2 linked regions of the Neurospora crassa OR74A genome follow. The protein of the gene in region 1 purifies or fractionates together with the protein of each later gene. This does not show direct contact. Links are inferred from orthologs where the notes say so. Each region holds a gene or a part of one and is shown on either strand. Other genes may lie near its edges.

Region 1 (3,909 bases):
AGTAACTGAGTAGGTAGCGAAGACGACGATGAACTCCGAGATGAGAGGAAGCATCGAGGATTGGTATAGCTAATTCTAACTTTGTATGATTTCTCCGTAACACCGCGATGCAATACGCCTTCTAAAATAGACTAAACGATACAAAACCCTAAACAGAACAAACAAACGTGACCGCCACTGCTTGTCCAACTATACTGACAACCGAAGTGGCAACGAAGCACTCTAGGCCTCAGCCTTCTCACTGTCCTTCTTGTTCTTGCTTCTCTTCCTCTTCTTTTTCCTCTCTCCCTCGATGATATTATCCGCTCCCCGTTCACCAGCAGCAATCTCCTTCTTCTCCTCCTTCTTCTCTTCCTTCTTCTCCTCTTTCTTCTTCTCGCCACTCTTCTTGTCCTTGTTCTCACCCCTCTTCTTATGCTTAATCGCACCCTCATCCTTCTTGCCAAGGGGCGTACCATCCTCGTCCAGCGCCTCGAACCCAAAGGTAGGACCAGTCGCTTCGAACTCCTTGCCAAACGTCTCGCGACGCCACTGCCTGAGACGGGCCTTCTTGCCAAGCTTCTTGCGTTCCTTGCGCTTCTTCTCGGCGTCGCGGAAAGTAGCCAGCTTCTTGAGGCCGGCGAACTCGTTGAGCGCGGCGTCCGAGGGCGCCAACAAGATATCGCGCGCCGTCATGCCGAACGAGACGGGCGAAGTCTCGCGGTAGCGGAACGGGAACAGGTTCTCCTTGTACTTCTTGTCCTTGGGGGCGGAAAGCGCGCGAGGAGTGTCGAGTTCCATCTTGGTGTCGACCAAAGCTTCAAGCTTGGCTAGTTCCGCCTTGGCTGCCCGCTTGGCGGCTTGCTTCTCCTTCTTGATGTCGGCGGTGGTCTTGCGCTTCTTGGAGGGACGGCCTTCATCTTCATCGGCGGAGAGGTCGGAGCCGAGGTCGGCGTCCTCGTCTTCGGCTTTTTGGTCGTCGCCGTTGGGCTTGGGGAGGTCTAGATCGGAAAGGACAACATCGGGAGCGTCGTCGAAGTCGGGGATGATGTCCTTGATGTCGATATCGTCGTCCCACTCGGGCTTCTTGGGCAGCTTCTTCTTCTTCTTCTTGGATTTGCCGTCCTCGTTGTCCTCGTCGTCCTCCTCGTCGCTGCCGGACACGTCGCCTTCTCCCTCGGCGTAGTACTCCTCGCCAAACTGCTTGCGCATCTCCTCTTCCCACCGGTCGTTGTCCCAGGCGTCCTCGAGGAACTTCATCCACTCCTCGTCGGACAGCTCCTTGCCGGTGAGACCGGCAGCCTTCTTGATCTTGGATAGCTTCTCGGCCGCCTCGTCAATCTTGAGACGGCGCAGACGAGCACGCTCCTCCTCGCGCTGCTTCTTCTCGGCCTCCTTGCGCTCCTTCTCGAGCTGTCTCTGCTTCTTTCTGCCCGTGAGCTCCTCCTTTCTGACGGACTTGGCGTTGGCCAGGTTACGCGAGTACGTCTTGAGCAACTCGTTGCTCTTGTTGGGGTCCTCGAACCGCATGTTGTAGGCGTGCTCGAACTCCTCGGCCATCTCGGGGAAGTTGTCCTCACCCTCGTCCGACTCGAAAGCCTCCCAGCGCGAGCCGTCGGCGGGCGCCCAGGCCTTGGACTGCATGAATTTGGAAAGGAACTCCTCGGGGTTCTTGTCAGCGTTCTTGACGTCGAGCTCGTTAAGATCGATCGCCTTGGCGCGCGACGGGTGAACGCCGTTCTCGGTAGGCGCCTCCTCCTTCTTGACGGGCTTGATGAAGGCGTCGTCGTCGCTCCACTCCTCGTCTTCGCCGACAGCGGCATTGATCTCAGACAGAATGTTCTGCTTCAGGTTGGCTTGTTCCTCGGCATAGGTCTTGGGCTTGGGCGCGTCATCTTCGTCGGCACCGATGTCACCGGCCATGTACCTCTCGCGGTGGTAGTCGCGCAGGGTCATGGGCTTCTCCTTCTTCTCCTTGACGGGCTGGCCGTCGGCGTCAATTGGCGTGTAGAAAACGGCCTCCTTGTCGTAGATGCGGGGGTCCCTCTTCTTGATAGCTTCTAGAGTGGCGTTGATTTCGGCGTCGAGGTCCTCGGTGACAAGGAAGCCCTCATCGTCTTCGGTCTCGTCTTCGGAAGAGTCCTCTTCGTCCTCGTCTTCGCCTAGCCCACCTTCCTTCTTGGACTTGAACTTTTCCTCGAGACGGTGGAGTTCCTCGCGCTTCTTGTTGTGTTCAAAACGGCGGGCGTACTCCTCATTGATCTTCAAGTCGGCAGCGGTACCGAGGGTGGCACCGCCGTCCTGCTCGTCTTCGCTGGAGGCATCATCGTCGAACAGACCCTTTCTAGGCACAATGGGATCGGTATTGGCGCCTGTGACTCTGGCTTTCGCCGCTTTTGACTTTGGGCGAGGCATCTTGAGGTGGGCTAGATTTGAAGATGCTAGGGCGAAGGGGTGGAAAGTCAATCCTGGCGCATAAAGGATGGAAGACTTTCGTTGCGACTTTGACGCCCCCAAATTTTCGAAGTGAACTTTTTAGTGGGGACCTTTTCGAAGTCCAGTCCCCGGGCTACAGCTGGCGGTACGTACTTGTAGTCCAATTTGCCTGCCACGAGATTGCGCACGGTTCACAAAGGCATACATATGTGGCTATGAGTCTTGGCATGGAGGGGAAGTTGGAGTCCACTCACAGCGCAAGCGAGGGGGGACATCGAGGACATGCGACGCCTGCCCGTGGCCCGACCGAATGCCTGCTGGATCCCGGCGAGCCTGGCTTTCCGACTGGAAGGGAACTAACTGAATGAACAAGCTCCATCCATCCATTTACTCTCATTGCTGCCGTCTACCTATCACGTCACACCTCACTCCGATTCCCAACCCATCAACGATCCATCTTCAGACATCTTTTGTCTTCCAACAGGCAGCCACCCAACGTCCTCCCTTCCACAACTGCACTGCTCTGTCGCTGTCGCATTATCAAAGATAGCCGTTCTTGCTATTGTCCCTTGCTGTAGTTGCTCGCTGCCGCAAGCCCCGCCGTTTCCACAACCCATCCACCCAGATTTGTAGCAACAATACACTTCAACGACAATGGCCGATACGAACGCGCCCAAGCCGAGCAGCAGCGTCAAGCTGGTGCTTCTAGGTGAAGCTGCTGTCGGAAAGGTGCGCAGTCTTCTGCTCCAAAACCACCATGCTCGAGAAACACATGCCTAACACAAATCGTTCCACAGTCGTCGCTCGTCCTCCGATTCGTCAACAATGACTTTCAAGAGAACAAGGAGCCCACGATAGGAGGTTAGTTCCTGAAGTCATGACGACTTTCTTTGCACCAGTTTAGCTGACACTTTTTTGCAGCCGCCTTCCTAACCCAGAAGTGCAACCTGCCCACGAGGACGATCAAGTTCGAGATTTGGGATACAGCAGGCCAGGAGCGCTTCGCCTCTCTAGCGCCCATGTACTACCGCAACGCCCAAGCCGCCCTTGTCGTTTACGACCTGACGAAACCTACTTCACTCATCAAGGCCAAGCACTGGGTCGCCGAGCTCCAGCGACAAGCGTCTCCCGGCATCGTTATCGCGCTCGTGGGCAACAAGTTGGATCTGACCAGCGACTCGGCCGGCTCTGCCGAGGCTTCCGGAGGTGGCGACGACAATGCGGAGGATTCGGGCGACGCACGCAAGATCTCGACGGACGAGGCCAAGGCATACGCCGAGGAGGAGGGTCTCTTGTTCTTTGAGACTTCGGCCAAGACCGGACATAACGTTACTGAGGTTTTCACAGCCATTGCAAACGCCATCCCCGAGACGTCGTTGAAGAGCGCGCGTGGGCCTGGTGCCTCGCATGCCGGTGTCAGCCGCACAGAAGAGCAGAGGGTCAACCTTAACGGGCCGCGGGATCTCGATGCAAAGGAAGGTTGCGCCTGTTAAG
Region 2 (3,909 bases), on another chromosome or scaffold:
GAACACTAGAAACTCGTATGGTAAAAGCACCTAATACGGGATGATGCCATCAGATACACGAGATATCGAAGTAGGCGAGAGCTACATTGCCTTCTTTCCCTTTACACTGTTCTCTCAGGATTCCGACAACGTGGCAGAGGATCGCGGTTGCCTTGGACTTGGAAAAATGGGAGAAGGGCATTCCAAGCCAGATTGACGCAACAAAGAAGTCAAAAGGCAGCTTCCTTCACATAACTGAAAATGATTATTCCAAGGCTCCTCGACAATTCCTGTTGCTGTACCGGGTATCTTGAATTTATAATTTCGTGCACTAAAGCATTACAGGTCGTCAACAATTATGTTGCTGGTTGGTCAGCACCACTAAGATACAAAGGGTAGTACATGGTGACTGACTTGGCATGACCACTTCCTCTTCAAGCGGCGTGATGAGTAGTAGCCACTGTCGAGGCGTGACATAGTATTATCAAAGGGGTCAATGTCTAAGGACTGCCCCAAGCCACCAAGGTCACTAAACAACACGACTCCCATCTCTATGCGCGTACCAGGTAAAAATGAGCCACATGTCCTCGTTGCATACCAAGGGTTCATCGTCTATAAGTCATTACCGGATCACCGATGTTTCTTCAAGCGTCCAGCATCGTGTCATCGCCATCAAATCCGGGTTGCGCGACAGGGACACCACCTCCGCGACCTGCGAGAAGTTCTCGCCTGATCTCGGGCGAAATCTTGTCATGGCCGTGAGTTAGGAGAAGATCCAGGAGAGCCTCTCGCTGGTCCTCAGTAACTACACAAAGACCGCGGTTAGTACTCAAAAATAATAGGGACGCATAGTGAAACAGCGACGGAAGAAGCAAACTCACTGTTCGTCTTGTATCTCTGTGCAAATGAGAGCATGCACTGATGGAAGATGACTGGTAAAGCGTTGGGTGCCATATGCCCGCCGGTGGCGAAAGCGGGATACCGAAGAAAGTGGAAGACGAGGGCATCGAGCGCTTGGAAGGCTGTATTACAAAGTCAGAGAATACAATCATTGGCACGCTAGGAATTGGACTTACGCAAGGCGTGACGTTTCTCAATCAGAGTCTTGAGGAGGAAATTCGTAGCGCTAACGCAGTCGAGGCGCTGAGAAGCCTGCGCAGAAGAAATTTCGCACAAGCCCTTAATGGCCATACCGGAATGAACAGCCGGAATGGTGACCCGGGTCAAAACACCGGCTACGATCTGCGCCTCACGCAGCGAGCACGTTCCGGAAGCCGCCAAAGGAAACAAGAAGCCTGCCAACGGTTAGCTGGGTTGTCCCTTTTGAGCAAACCTGACTAAGCGTAGGCAGTAAATAACACACCTTTGAAGAAACCACCAGGCTTGTAGAGGGCCTTTTTTAGGGAGTTGAAAAGATGGACATTGAGCTTCTTGGTCTCGTGAATGTCCTCGCGGACGCGTTCTAAGATCACCATCTCCATAAACCGTTGAAGAACAGCCTCCTTGGCGGACGCAAATATCCTGGTGGCCGCGTAGCTAACAATCGCAAATGTCAGCAGCGTTTCTCTGGCTCCCGAAAACAGGAAGAAGCAACCATACCAGGCATTGGGAGTCCAGGACTCGGGTTGTGTAATGGGCAAGATGTCCTCCCAGTGGGGGATCTGAGGAAGGACCTTGAAAGGCTTGGGAAGCGGCCCAGATTTGTAGCGAGAAAGAATCATGCCAATTCTGCGAGAAGGAGTCTGTCAGTAGTCTGCCAAGAGGGTAACAGAAATAACGGCCAGCCTACTTCTCAAACACTTCCATCACCTTTGGGGGGATCTCGTAATCCTCATCAATTGGGCCAGGCTCGTCGCGGTACCCGCCTTGGGGGCCGCCGGCTTCCTTCTCTGCGATCTTGGCAAGAATAAGGTCCGCCAGGTTCACGCTCTGACCCTGCTCTTCTGCCCCTTCTGGCTTTCCATCCCATCCGTGTGTTAGGAGCGGGTCCTCGTTCATTGTGGGTGTGATAAACTGGTTGAATGTCTCGAGATCGGTGGCGTCGACTTCGATTTCCTCTACCTCCTCCTCCTCTTCCTCGCCCCAGGCCTCGTCGTTCTCAAACTTGTCGTCTTCGTCATCGTTGCGGTCGAATCTCGATGGATCGAACTCGAACGCCGAAGGAGCAGATCCGGAGGCTGCGTTTTGTGTTGTCCGGAGGTTCTCCTCCTCCTCGATGAGGCTACGGCTCATAGCCAAAATGTTGCGCGAAGCCTTGGCGTCGACATACTTTTGCTCATCTTCGTCGTTGGCGGCGCGAGTGTTCTTGCTCTTTTTGCCGGAGTTGTTCTTAAGGACGCCGGTAGAAACGAGGTCGGCCTCGAGGGGGTTGTGGCGCCTCTTCGACGTCGCCGCTGTTGTCTTGGGCATCTTGAATGGCGGTAGGGTTGTGCAATCGGGGGAAGAGTTGATGATACGGAGCTCTCCTGGTTGTCCCCTCTCTTTGCGATGTCGACTTGGCTGCACACGGCAATTGGGGATATTTTTTTCGGCGACCCTTGGACAATTTGTTCCCGCCGTGGAGAAGTCTGGGCACTTGAAAGGCTTGCGCTACGCTTGTGGTTGGTCACTTCTTTGCTGTGTGGGCACACTTTATTTTCTGATGCCAGGGCGGTGAAAATGATAAGCGGTACAATACCTCTTATCGCTTATCGTCTAGCTTGGACGCGCCCGGCGGAGCAGCGATAAACATTTTATTGCCCCGCATTTTCGTCACTGTGCCCCTCTTCGGTTGCAAATTCCTGGAATTTTGTTCCCTGTGTTTACAGTTTTTGCAGCTTGGCCCACTGCATGAATAAGAGCAAGGGAAGTCGCGACATCATAGCCTCGCTCGCCACGGTTACGAGCTTATAGCAAGTCCAATACAACCATACATCCAGCTACCATTGATAACATGCCGACCGAACTTGAAGAGGTAATTCTGCCAGAACCAGTGCAGTGTCAATGTCAGTGGACAGACAACTAATCGCTATAATCGCCTGAAGCTCGTGGGCTTCATTGCCTCGCCGAACGCCAACATCCGCCTTCTCGCGACAGAGAACCTGGTGCCCTTCTCAGCGTCTCAGCCCGCCCTCTTCAAGACCGACGAGCTCACCCCCATCAAGCATCTCAAGTTCTTGATCCGCGACCACCCGGTAGGCCCAACAGACTTGTCTTGTTTGCGCCCAAGCAGCTTCAGCTAAGACGTCGGTACCATGTGCAGAAAATCGCCGAGCACGCCCTAACATGCTTGATCAACTTGACTGCCGAGAAGGATGTGCTGGAATACGTCGCGACCGATGATCGCTTCCTTGGAATCCTCCTCGGGCTTCTTGTCGTATGTGTATCCATTCTGAGCTCCTACGGTGCGTGCGCAGCAAGGACTAACCGCTTCGATCCCGTTCCTATAGGAGCCCGAGGAGGTTAACGCCAATCTTATGGCTATGTTGCTGGCAAACTTGACCAAGTGGGATGGACTCAAAAGTCTTCTAGACCGGAAACAGCCCGCTCCAGAGAAGCTCAAGTCCGACGATAGGGTCATTAACCAACTAATGGACCTCTTCGTCAAGGGCGCCGACGGGACTTACAACAAGCACGCCGATTACGACTACCTCTCCTACGTCTTTGCCGACCTTTCGAAACATGAAGAGATCCGGCACTACTTTGTCAACAGACAGGACTACGACGATGTTATTCCAATCAACAAGATCAAGGTCTTTACCGAACACAAGTCCGATATCAGGCGAAAGGGAGTGGCGAGCATTATCAAGAACGCTGCTTTTGACATTCCTTCGCACCCGGCGTTTTTGGATGAGGATGACGTCAATATCTTACCCTACATTTTACTTCCTATCATGGGCGGCGAAGTTTATCCCGAGGATGAGGCATTGGAAATGCTTACCGATCTTCAGC

What was found.
Region 2: the proteins of NCU06409 (region 1) and NCU08323 purify together in Saccharomyces cerevisiae (affinity purification with mass spectrometry; 4 studies listed by BioGRID). This does not show direct contact. The link is inferred for Neurospora crassa OR74A from reciprocal best matches to the Saccharomyces cerevisiae genes KRI1 and ENP1.

Annotation. Positions count from the first base shown.
Region 1 is NC_026503.1:1,301,555-1,305,463, forward strand, and holds NCU06409 (ribosome biogenesis protein Kri1), read right to left. Parts: upstream 2,504-3,909; 5' UTR 2,395-2,503; coding exon 223-2,394; 3' UTR 27-222; downstream 1-26. Other genes in the region: NCU06410 (GTP-binding protein YPT52), read left to right, coding at 3,070-3,144, 3,213-3,276, 3,337-3,908. UniProt on the Saccharomyces cerevisiae protein: Required for 40S ribosome biogenesis. Involved in nucleolar processing of pre-18S ribosomal RNA.
Region 2 is NC_026504.1:2,401,815-2,405,723, reverse strand, and holds NCU08323 (bystin), read right to left. Parts: upstream 2,553-3,909; 5' UTR 2,389-2,552; coding exon 1,769-2,388; intron 1,708-1,768; coding exon 1,579-1,707; intron 1,516-1,578; coding exon 1,343-1,515; intron 1,275-1,342; coding exon 1,056-1,274; intron 1,002-1,055; coding exon 861-1,001; intron 785-860; coding exon 624-784; 3' UTR 325-623; downstream 1-324. Other genes in the region: NCU16789 (hypothetical protein), read right to left, coding at 106-181; NCU08324 (DNA-binding protein HGH1), read left to right, coding at 2,912-2,932, 3,003-3,152, 3,221-3,334, 3,408-3,909. UniProt on the Saccharomyces cerevisiae protein: Required for normal export of the pre-40S particles from the nucleus to the cytoplasm.